3 linked regions of the Rattus norvegicus genome follow. The protein of the gene in region 2 interacts with the protein of the main gene of each other region in a pairwise test. Links are inferred from orthologs where the notes say so. Each region holds a gene or a part of one and is shown on either strand. Other genes may lie near its edges.

Region 1 (3,652 bases), on a different chromosome or scaffold from region 2:
CATACCCTGTTGTGCCCAGCTTTTTGTATGGGTGCTGGGGACCTGAACTAAGTCCTCGTTCTTACACAGCAAGCCCTTTCCAAACTGAGCCATCTCCTCAGCCCCACTTTCCTCATTTTATAGATAAAGAAGCTGAGACTCTGAGAGGGTAAGCAGCTTGCTGAAGGTCACACAGCAGGCCAGGAGAGGTCTAGATTCAGAGGCCAAGCCTGTTCAGTCAGTGTCTAAATACAAGGATGTTCATGCCTCTTCTGGTTCCAGCCCACCTATCTCACTTCACAAGAGTGGCCCGGGTTTGCTGCCAGCTTCCAGATGGGCATTCTGACATCATTCCTCAGTCCCAGGCACTCACCAGTAGGCAGTAGGTCAGAGCTTTGTGCTCCGGGAACCCCTGACCCTGAGTCTTTCACACTTCATCCCCCACCAGATATGGAACACGGAGCATGGGCACTGGGAAACAAACTGTGCTCCATTATGGTGAAGCAGGAGCAGAGCCCGGAGCTTCCGGTTGACCCCCTGGCTGCCTCCTCCGCCATGGCTGCTGCTACCATGGCCACCCCACCACTGCTGGGCCTCAGCCCCATCTCCAGGCTGCCCATCCCTCACCAGGTAAGCCTAGGGACTATTCACAGGGACTGAGGGAGGGAGGGAGACGGAGGGGAGAGGGAAGGCAGTCACACCCAATGTCCTGGACTGCTCCATGCTGGGAACTTAGGTAGCTGAGGAACTTCTGCCTCCCATACTGACCACCCCTTCCCCATCCTCCAGCAGACACAGATAACAGTGCCCTCCATGCACGCTGGGCCCTCCCTGCATCAGAGAAAGCTTGCAAGGTGCCAGGCAGGGTTGAGGGGTAGTGAAGGTTATATGAATGGGAGATACCCCAGGATACTTCCTTTCCCTTTGAGTTCCAGGATTTAGAGAAAGGTCAACATGTCAATGCAAAAAGAAAAAGAAAAAAAAAAGAAAGAAAAAAGGAGTTGCATCTTAATTAGTTTGTATTTAGATTAATAAACCACGCTCGTGAGAATCCCTGCCTCCACTTCTGGAGTGCATAGGTAACAGCTACAAATCCAAGACCCTTCCAGGAACGAGGCTCAGATCACTGGCTTCTGGGAGAGGCTTTGCTGGGCCAGGTTTGTTTCCTTACTGTGCTCTGGGCATTTTGCCATCTCTTTTTACTTCAGCTTCCTTCTTTGTCAAGTAGGTGCAAGTCACGCGGCCTAAAATCCTATAGTTTAAAAAAATAAACACTAGGGAACGTGAGATGGCTCAGCGGCTAAGAGCACTGGCTGCTCTTCCAGGGGTCCTGAGTTCAAATCCCAGCAACCACAGGGTGGCTCACAACCATCTATATAAGGGGATCTGATGCCCTCTTCTGGCCAGTAGATGTATATGCAGCAGAGCACTCATACATTAAATAAATAGAATTTAAAAAATAAAAGTAAATAAGTACTAATCTCTAGCCTGGGAGTTTGCTGGCCACCCAGGTTACCTCTTCAGAGTAGGTGGGCATAAGGAAGAAAGGCCACCCTTCCCTGTCCTCAAGGTCAAGGACTAATGACCAGCTTGATCCCCAGAGACTCTAGATCGAGTGCGGCCAAAATCAGAAGGAAGAAGGGGCTGCAGTAGAAAATGAAACAGGATTCTGGGATTAAGCCCTAAATCATGCAGCTGAGCTTGGCCTGTCAGACCCTAGAGCGGAGGACTCCCATTCTGCCAGTGTAGGACACAGAAGACAGGCTGTAACTACCTGAACCCCCAAAGGGCTGCCACCACTCCACACTCCCCTCAGGTCCCCTCAGGTCCCATAGTGCTGCCATTGAGCTGAGTGAAGACCAGGGAATGGCCAAGTTCCTGGACCCCTCTGCTGGCAGCAGACCCAGTGGGGAGAGACAGTCCCAAGAGCCATGCTTTCTCATAGACCACCACTTACATGCATGCTGGTGAAATCCACATGTACAAAACCACACATGTTCCTGAAGCCATAACTAGAACATCACTTTGGAATTTAAATACTTTTTAAAGAATGTACATCTGATTGTACCCAGGCCTAACTTGACGCCCCTCAAGGGTTCTCACTGCTGCAAGCTTCCTGGACTGGGCTCCACTCCCATTTGTAACCCAGGATCCACATGACCTTTCAGCTCCGGCAGCTTTCTTTGAGCTGTGGCCAATTAATTCCTCCTGAACTATTGATCCCATTCATCCAACAGCTACAGTGGGACTAACATGACCTCCTGTGCTCATGGCAACCACATACCAAGGCCTACATGGCTTTCACAGCGAAGGGTCAGCCTCTACCTGGAAGGTGGCACGGCCCTGGATACCGTAGGAACTCTCCCTTCCTGAGACTCAGTTCAGACCTACAGTGTGCAGCCACCATTCTCTCTGATCTTCGCTGTTGTATGGCTTTCCCAAGATGAGGACTTGCCTCTCTGTTCTTGCTGAACTGATCCCAGAACTCCTGAGGCCAGCCATTCCTCTATGCAGGGCAAACCTCCAGCCTAAGGGAGGGAAGAGAGTGAACGCTTGATGGGGATTGTCCCAGGGGCAGGTGATTGAGAAGATGAATCTGTCTCTTCCTCAGGCCCCAGGAGAAATGACTCAGCTGCCAGTGATCAAAGCAGAGCCCCCGGAAATGAGCCAGTTTCTCAAAGTGACACAAGGTAAGTGTGTACATGAGAGAGACTCCTGATCATGGACAGACAGACGGCATCCTACTCCCTCCATCTAGACCACCCCTGTTCTTCAAAACTCCGGCTTCCCCCCAAATGCTCTCACCTTCTCAATCTCTCGCTCCTTGTCTATCACATCCCCTCTCCTTCTTCCATTTCTTCTGGCCTCCTTCCATCCACTCCACAGCGGAAAACACACTTTATAGCCACCACACGTCTTTTCTTCCATCCATATACCCATCCATCCACCCCCTACTCAACTGTTATTTATTTATTTTTTTTAAAGATTTATTTATTTATTATATATAAGTACACTGTAGCTGTCTTCAGATACACCAGAAGAGGGCATCGGATCTCTTTACAGATGGTTGTGAGCCACCATGTGGTTGCTGGGAATTGAACTCATGACCTCTGGAAGAGCAGTCGGGTGCTCTTAACCACTGAGCCATCTCTCCAGCCCTTTTTTTTTTTTTTTTGGTTCTTTTTTTTCAGAGCTGGGGACCGAACCCAGGGCCTTGCGCTTCCTAGGCAAGCGCTCTACCACTGAGCTAAATCCCCAGCCTCAACTGTTATTTTTTATTTTTATTAATTTTTATTTATATAAGTACACTGTAGTTGTCCTCAGACACACCAGAAGAGGGCACCAGATCTCATTACAGATGGTTGTGAGCCACCATGTGGATGCTGGGATTTGAACTCAGGACCTCTGGGAGAGCAGTCAGTGCTCTAAACCATGAGCCATCTCTCCAGCCCTCCCCTACTCAACTATTTACCCATTCACCCACTTACCCATTCACCCACTGTCCATCCATCATCCATCCATCCACCCATCTTTCTATCCATCTATCACCTGTCCATTCATCAATGAATCTGTCACTCCACCACACATCCACTCATTACCACTCACCCTATTACCCTGAGACTGGACCCATACTGTTGACTCAGAGAAAGGAAATGGAAGGACATTGGTCAGC
Region 2 (3,065 bases):
GGGACTGGGTGTTTCCTTCCTTCTGTGAATGAGAACTTGACAGCAGAGTGGAAGTTTCTGTCTTGTGATTGCCTGCTGAGTCTAAGTTTAACTGAAGCCTTGGCTTTCTGTAGCCTTTGAAGAAGACTTGGTTAAGTTTTGTGGAAGAAAAAGAGCTCAGATTTCTAATGTGGGCTCCAGAAATCAAAGTGGAGCCGAAGAGCCTGAATTTGAAATGACAATAGGCAGAGTAGAAAGCAGCCTCCATCCAACACCCCTCCCCCAATCCCCACCCCTATTCACACATAAAGAGAGCTCTGGGTTCTGCATTCCCAGTTTTCATTAAGGGGCTCTGGGGCTGGACATCCCTGAAAATTAAAGACCATGAGTGAGCCTCCTGACATAGTGGTCACCAAGACTCCTCACACCGAGTCCAGGCTTTCTGCGATGTCTGAACAGTAGGCACACACAGGAGGGGAGGGGGGCAACCAGAGGCTAATGCTGCTCTCTGTCCCCTAGGATGGCTGGCATGGTGCTGGGAGTGGGTGCTGGCGTGTTCCTCCTCGCTCTGCTCTGGGTGTTGGTGCTGCTGCTGTGTGTGCTGTTATGCAGAGCCTCTGGGATAGCTAGGTAAGGCATTCTTTCCAGCCGGGAGTCCTAGGTAAAAGCAATTAGAGGTAAAAATCGCTGACGCTCATTAAACATTTAGAATTCAGAAGATCATTTTTGTAATTACTGGCAGTTTGAACGAGTTGCATTTTAACCTCTTATCATAAGCACTAACTGTGTTATTTATGCTCTGAGGCAGAGGTGGGAGGGCAACGGAAGCGTGTTCTTCAGTTCTCACTGTGGAGGAGATGGATGGTGGGAGGGAGGCAGAGATGACGAGAAAATCTACTTTGGCTGCTCTTGAGTTCCTTGGGAGTTGTAGGCAGAAGTTTTGTCTAATTGTTCAGATTTATGGCACATGCTTGGTCCAATCCTTAAGACTTTACCATGGGCCCACAGACACTGAAGTTTACAGTGAGACGGCCTGGCCCTCAGTACCAAGCTATAACCTAATCCTGGAGACACTTGAGATACACAATGTCAGGGTTATGAACAGTAATAAACAGACAGCTGCAGTATTTGCCGAAGTGTTCTGGTCTGAAAGAACAAAGGTGTGTGGGAATGGGAGGGATGTGTATGCTATACGCATGAATGGACACTTTGTGCAGAAAACGATGAATTCCCATTGTTAGGAATTGGGAGTTACCAGGAATAAATAGGAAGATACCCAGCTGGTACCTGTCCTGGGAAGCAAGGCTTCGGGGTGGAGGACTTTGTGGTCCTTCAGGGACAAGCCAGCACAGGCCTGTGACCCCAGCACAGGCCTACCGGTTAGAAGTAGACAGTCCACAGTGCTTCTGATACTCAGGTCTCTTTGCTCCCAGGTTCTCCATCATCTTCGTCTTCCTGGGTGCTCTGATCATCACCACAGTTCTATTGCTTTTCCCTCGAGCCAGTGAATTCCCGGCCCCACAAGGTGAAATGAAGGTAAAGCTACTGGGTTTCATTTTGCTCCTAATCTCAGCCCCTCCACCCTGCCCTGAGAGCTGTTCAAGCAGTGAGTCGCCAAAGGAGCTGCAGGGCTCCTGTCCCTTTACCCTGCAAAAGGGTCTTAAGGATCTCACCCGCAGCAGCAGCACCACCGGGCAGCGATTTATCTGGTGTGACGTCATTTGCCACTTGCATCAAGTTGAATGACAGTGTAGAAAGCCACTCCTTACTTATAGACAGGAAGAGAAGAGAGTTAGGAACCAGGAACTGGCTGGCGTAGGCTGTAAGTGCCGTGTTCCCCACTCCTGGTAGCATTGGTTCAGAGTCTCAGGTCCTGGTCTAAATGGGTGTACTGCTCTCGGGGTGCTTTTCCATCCTGAGGGACTTTTTCCACTGTTGTGTTAAGAGAGTCATTTCCATCAAGAACAGTAGGTAAGAGGAGCCTTTCTATGGGAAGCAGAAGGTGAATTACAGATGCGCTCTATACCAATGAGTGTCATATTCATCCCCTAGACCACATCTGCCAGCCCCTACTTTTGTAAATAGATTTGCACCACCCCTGCCACTGTCCCATTTCTGAGACCTCACCTGTTCTGGTTCATTCCTGACTTGAGGCTGGTTCTACCGTGTGTGGCTGCTCTCAGACCCATAGGCTCTTGCTAAGGGTACTGACCTGTCTGTCCCATGACATCTTCTTGTGGTATTCTGATTTCCTCCCAATAGCTATTTTAATTTAGGAGTAGAAGCCATGCTAGTAGTTAACATTCTTAAAGGATTACTGTATTCAGAGACCTGTGCTAAACACCTTGTTTACATTGTCTCTTTGAAACCACTTGGCAACCCTAAGTTAGGTACTCTTGTTTTCCGGGTAAGAGGGTCAGGTGACCTGCTCAAATCCACACTCCAGGAAGAGCAGAGCAAGGATTTAAGCTGGGCTCTGTCCTCAGAATCTTCAAGTGTGCCGGGCAGTGGCGCACGCCTTTAATCCCAGCGTGTGGCAGGCAGAGGCAAGTGGATGTCTGAGTTTGAGGGAAGCTTGGTCTACAGAGTGACTTCCCGGACGGACAGAGCTGCACAGAGAAACCCTGTCTCAAAAAACATACTCCATCACCCCCCCCCAAAATCTTCACACTTGTTGGAACTCAATAGAATATCAAAGACCATTCTCCAAATCTGACAGATTGTCAATCTGACATAGTCCATAAAATTACATAATATTTTGAAGTAAAATGAACACACACTTCCAGCTCTACCTGAGACTAATGACGGCGAGAAGAAGGAAATTAGCTCTGGAAACTCTAAGGGAAATTATGCTTACCACACAGATTCCAGGAGTCATTCCCTTGGGTGTCAGGCTCTTCTCTGCAAATGGCCTACCCCAGTTTCTTTGTTTTTAGGAGAAGAGAGTGATACACGCTACCATGTTTGTAATTATTGCAGGTGTGACTAGTAGAAAAGGCACATTTTCAAATCAAACCCTCTCCTCCGTCATATGAGTTTCGGACCCAGGAGACAACCAGGATTGAGCAAAACATGTTTGTCAGCAT
Region 3 (4,202 bases), on a different chromosome or scaffold from region 2:
AATAAAGAATATGTAGATACTGAAGTTATTTCTTTGGTTGTGGAAATGCTTGCACTTCAGACAAATACTGATAGATTGAATGTCTTGAGAAGTGAGGAGCTGAAGTTCACAGGGAAGTAGACATAATTCAGCAGAGTAAGGTTAAGAACTAGCTCTCTGAGTTGTGTGTATATCTATCTATGCTCTAATTCTTATACTTACATTTACTTTAAGTCTGTGCAGAGGACAAGAAAGTAACACCTTCTATTTACCTTACATACTTTGTGGTAAGCACTCTGAATCTCACCATATTAACCCTGAAATCTCACTTAGTTCAGACTTTGATGCTAAGGCTCGGTAGCAAAACTTAAAAGTGTAACCATGAAATATACATCTGATTCCTGAGAAAGCCTTGAGTCAGGGCTACTTAGGAATTAAGAGAACTAGTGTGTTCTGCTTGAATGAGGGCTTGCCAAGCATCTTCCCCTGCCATCCCAATTTCTTCCCCATTTTTTGAGATCCATTTTCTGCAAGGTAGACTTTAAACTGAGAATCATCCTGTTGTTGCTTTGAGTGTCACAGTTATGGGTTTGAGCCACCATGTCCAGCTTCCTCTAGGCACATAAAATGTCAGAGTATTCAATGCAACTCTTTCCGAGTTGCATGAAGTCTTATTTCCTTTGGTACTGTGGATATTCTTATTATTGTATTGAGTCCTGTTGCCTGTAGCTAGGCCTAAATTACAACCTAACTTTGCTCAGTCTGCTTTTGCACCATTAAATGAACTAGTAACTGAACCTACAACACATAAAAGCTATTAGAGGAGCTACATGATCCCAAGACTTTTACACCCCCAACCATTCCGTTCACTTGCTAATCCTCACTGATTTGTCAAGAGTATTTCCAGGAAGCAAAAGGTTGTACACTTAGCTTTCCAAATCCTGTCTGTAAAAGCTTATGTGGCATCATCTGAGTTCCAAGCCAGCTTGGTCTACTCAGAATGCCATCTCAAAATGAAAGAATGAATAAACAAACAGAAGTCAAGGCTTAATGGCTAAGCCGGCAATCCTGCTTCAGACACAGTTAGCTGGACGACACCTCTTGCTACTTACAGCTTCCTCTTCTTTATCAACATTGCTTGTCTGGGACAACTTAATGTTCCCATTGCCAAGCTCCCCACTCGCAGAAAACTTCACCCCGTCCTTTGCACAGGAGATCACCACAGCATCTCCAATATGGCTAAGGTCCCGGCATATACGTGCAAATTCACCAGATGGCATCTTTACTACGCAGCTGTACTCCTGTTCCTGTAAATGCAAGGTTAAAGGTCAGTCTAGAAAAGAGGAAGACTCAGCTTCATGTTCTCAAGTTTCAGCACCTTAACTAGAACTCAGAACACAAGACTTCTGATGTCTTTACAACTCAATCAAGTTTAGGCTGTTGTGGTCTGGTGAAATGGCAAACACCACAACTCCACTTTAGAACATGCATCAGCTGGTATCACAGCTTGGTAAAACACCATCAGAAACAAGATACTTACTGGGATTCCAAGTTGCTCAACGTCTAAGTCCATTAACTTCATCTCATAGTCTGAAACTTTCTCTTGATCTACCAAAAGAAATCCAAGTGTTACTGAAGCACATGTTCATATCTATGTTGTAAATTTACCACAACCCTGTTGTTTTTAATTGTGAGAAACAGAAACAGCACACTTTAATTTCTGTAGCAACTGAGTTTTAAGGGTGTAACTTACTTGGTGCTTCAAATACTAGTGCTAAGGTATCAGCATTATCTTCAGCCCTTAATGTAATGATGTCTTCATTACCAGCACATTTTAGAATTTTGGACATGCTAGAAAAAAAAAAGGACACAGGGCTTATCAACATCATGTCTCCACATTTACATTTTTAAATTTATATTTCACATTCATGATTGGAGAATTGTTAGGGAGGATAAGGGTACCCCGAACCCTCTCAGAGGTTAAGCAAATTATCGGGTATATGTGATCCTTAAAAATCGATTTAGTAAAATGCACTAAAAGCCAACATTCAAGAACGCATCCTTTTTAGTGGGGTGTCCTCGGTTTTCAGCGTACTGGAGAGTGTGCCCTATCGCGTCTGGCCTTTTCATAAATGTTTCAAAATGTATACAAGTGACACTAATCCATATATCTGTACCAAAATAAGTCACATATTGTCCTTGAAATGTATACAGGAGGCACTAACACAGGTAGTTGTAGCAAAGTTAAAAGCTAAAACTGAGATTTTCCTGCAAATCCATGACGCGCAGTGAGATTCTAGAAGTCAAGAAAAGGCCTATCGTCACTCTAAGACTCTAAGTCGACAGTCCTTTTTCACCAGAACTCGCTTATTAGGCGCTAAAATCGGCCAGAAAAAGCTGCAGGCACTTAATGAGCGCAGCTCGGAAGCACGCATTTTCCCGCTGACTACCGCTTTGTGGCTTTGGCGCGGGAAAAAAGTAGGCGCGACAGCCAGCGCGGGCTTTTCGGAACCGCGCGCTTTGGTGGGTGATGTCCCCGGCACCACAGGCCAATCAGAAAGCGCGGACGGCCATGCCAGCCAATGCGAGTGCAGGAACACAGCCCCGCCAAGAGCCGAAGCGGGAGGGATGGGGCCCAGCTCCCGCCACCCGCTCACCTGGTGAGGTTCACGCCCATGGCCAGGTTGCGATCGCAGCGGTATGTGTCGAAGCCTTCGGAGCGCAGAGTAAGCTGCACTAAGGAGACGTGAGACGAATCCATGCTCTGTAGGTTCACGCCGCCCGAACTGATGTCCCAGCAGGCCTCATTGATGAGGTCTTTGAGGGCCTCCAGCACCTTCTTCAGGATGGAGCCCTGGATCAGGCGTGCCTCAAACATGGTGGCGGAGTTGCGACGTCTAGATGAGAGTTACTGTAAGGGGAGCGAGGTCTTGCTGACAAGGTACCCCGACTCACGATGCAGAAGTAGCGTGAAGACCAGGAGGGACGATAACCAGTCACCTGCGCCCGCAACCGTCTAATGCCGCGGCTTCCTAGGCGCGCGCTCTTTCAGTGCGCGAGGTTGTGGCGTCACAGCGCTGACCCACCCACCTCTCCTCTAGAACCAATCGTATCCGTGGTTTGAGCAAGGCCCGCCCCGCCGCGTATACAGAGGCGGAGCTGTGCGGTAAGAGCGTGGGAGGCGAGGGGCATCACGGGGTTCGCGTAGGCTGTCGTCACCGCCGGTGTTGGAGGGAGCTTAGGCTGTGGTTTCCATGTTCCTTAGGAAGTTTCTGCGCCACGGAAATGAAAGCCACTTGCAGTGCGCGGCGGCCTGCCTTGAAGAGGGAGACTGTAGTTCCTTCAAACACAGTGGAGTGCGTTTCTTTTACTACTGCGTAAAAAATATGCCGCAAAATATTGAGTAATAAAGAGGCCATCTTATCTGAACACTCCCCAATTTCATAACACTTACCTGGGTGCTTCGCTCTGAACTTTCCTCCCTAAAGATTTAAAAAAAAAAATGCCTCTTAACGCGAACGCTTCTGCAAAGATATATAGTTCATGTGTACCACGTAATTAGTTTCCTGTATGGTTGGTTTCTTTTATATTTTTAAAGGTAGATATTAGTATTTTCATCTTAGTTTTAGGCTTAAGATGAACCCAAGCCTGAGCCCCATCTTGAAAATATTAGCTGTTGCAGGTGAAGCGTCTTTCATATGTCCCTGGGCTGCAGCATTTTGTTCTACTAAAACTTCTTTTTCCTATTGATTATGAGGATGGAGAAGAACTGAATGTAGGTAATGGGCATCATTTACAAAAGGATATAAATGATTTCTATTTCTAATGCTTTTTCTCTTGGTTTTGGTGGTAGATAAAATATATTTGATAGTGGAAGTGTAAAACTTCCAGCTTCCATTTGGAATGCCTCTTCTAACTGTAGACACAACTTTTGGTGTGTGATGTTTTATTTATTTGCATTTTTTTTTTTACTAATAAGACATATAAAATTTCAGAAAGTTAAAAGGATTGTTTTAGCTGGTAAGAGTGTTTTACAGCTAATTCCAGCACATGGGAAGGCTGAGGTGGGAGGGCCTAGATTTAAACTCAGCTTGGACTATCTACCAAGACTGACACGAAGGGGGAAAAAGGAATGGTTTACGTATGAAAATATTAACCACATATCATGTGTATTTATTCTTCCCTTATTTACAGCATTTCTCTTTAGCTTGTCTTGTTTGATT

The links.
Region 1: the proteins of Tmem218 (region 2) and Creb3l1 interact in binary tests that used the Homo sapiens proteins (3 or more experiments, as listed by UniProt). The link is inferred for Rattus norvegicus from reciprocal best matches to the Homo sapiens genes TMEM218 and CREB3L1.
Region 3: the proteins of Tmem218 (region 2) and Pcna interact in binary tests that used the Homo sapiens proteins (3 or more experiments, as listed by UniProt). The link is inferred for Rattus norvegicus from reciprocal best matches to the Homo sapiens genes TMEM218 and PCNA.

Annotation. Positions count from the first base shown.
Region 1 is NC_086021.1:98,418,098-98,421,749, reverse strand, and holds part of Creb3l1 (cyclic AMP-responsive element-binding protein 3-like protein 1), read left to right. Parts: intron 1-427; coding exon 428-609; intron 610-2,590; coding exon 2,591-2,669; intron 2,670-3,652.
Region 2 is NC_086026.1:45,123,348-45,126,412, forward strand, and holds part of Tmem218 (transmembrane protein 218), read left to right. Parts: intron 1-498; 5' UTR 499-499; coding exon 500-609; intron 610-1,412; coding exon 1,413-1,515; intron 1,516-3,065. UniProt on the Homo sapiens protein: May be involved in ciliary biogenesis or function.
Region 3 is NC_086021.1:139,952,902-139,957,103, forward strand, and holds the start of Pcna (proliferating cell nuclear antigen), read right to left. Parts: upstream 2,920-4,202; 5' UTR 2,858-2,919; coding exon 2,637-2,857; intron 1,831-2,636; coding exon 1,733-1,830; intron 1,588-1,732; coding exon 1,520-1,587; intron 1,287-1,519; coding exon 1,092-1,286; intron 1-1,091. UniProt on the Homo sapiens protein: Auxiliary protein of DNA polymerase delta and epsilon, is involved in the control of eukaryotic DNA replication by increasing the polymerase's processibility during elongation of the leading strand.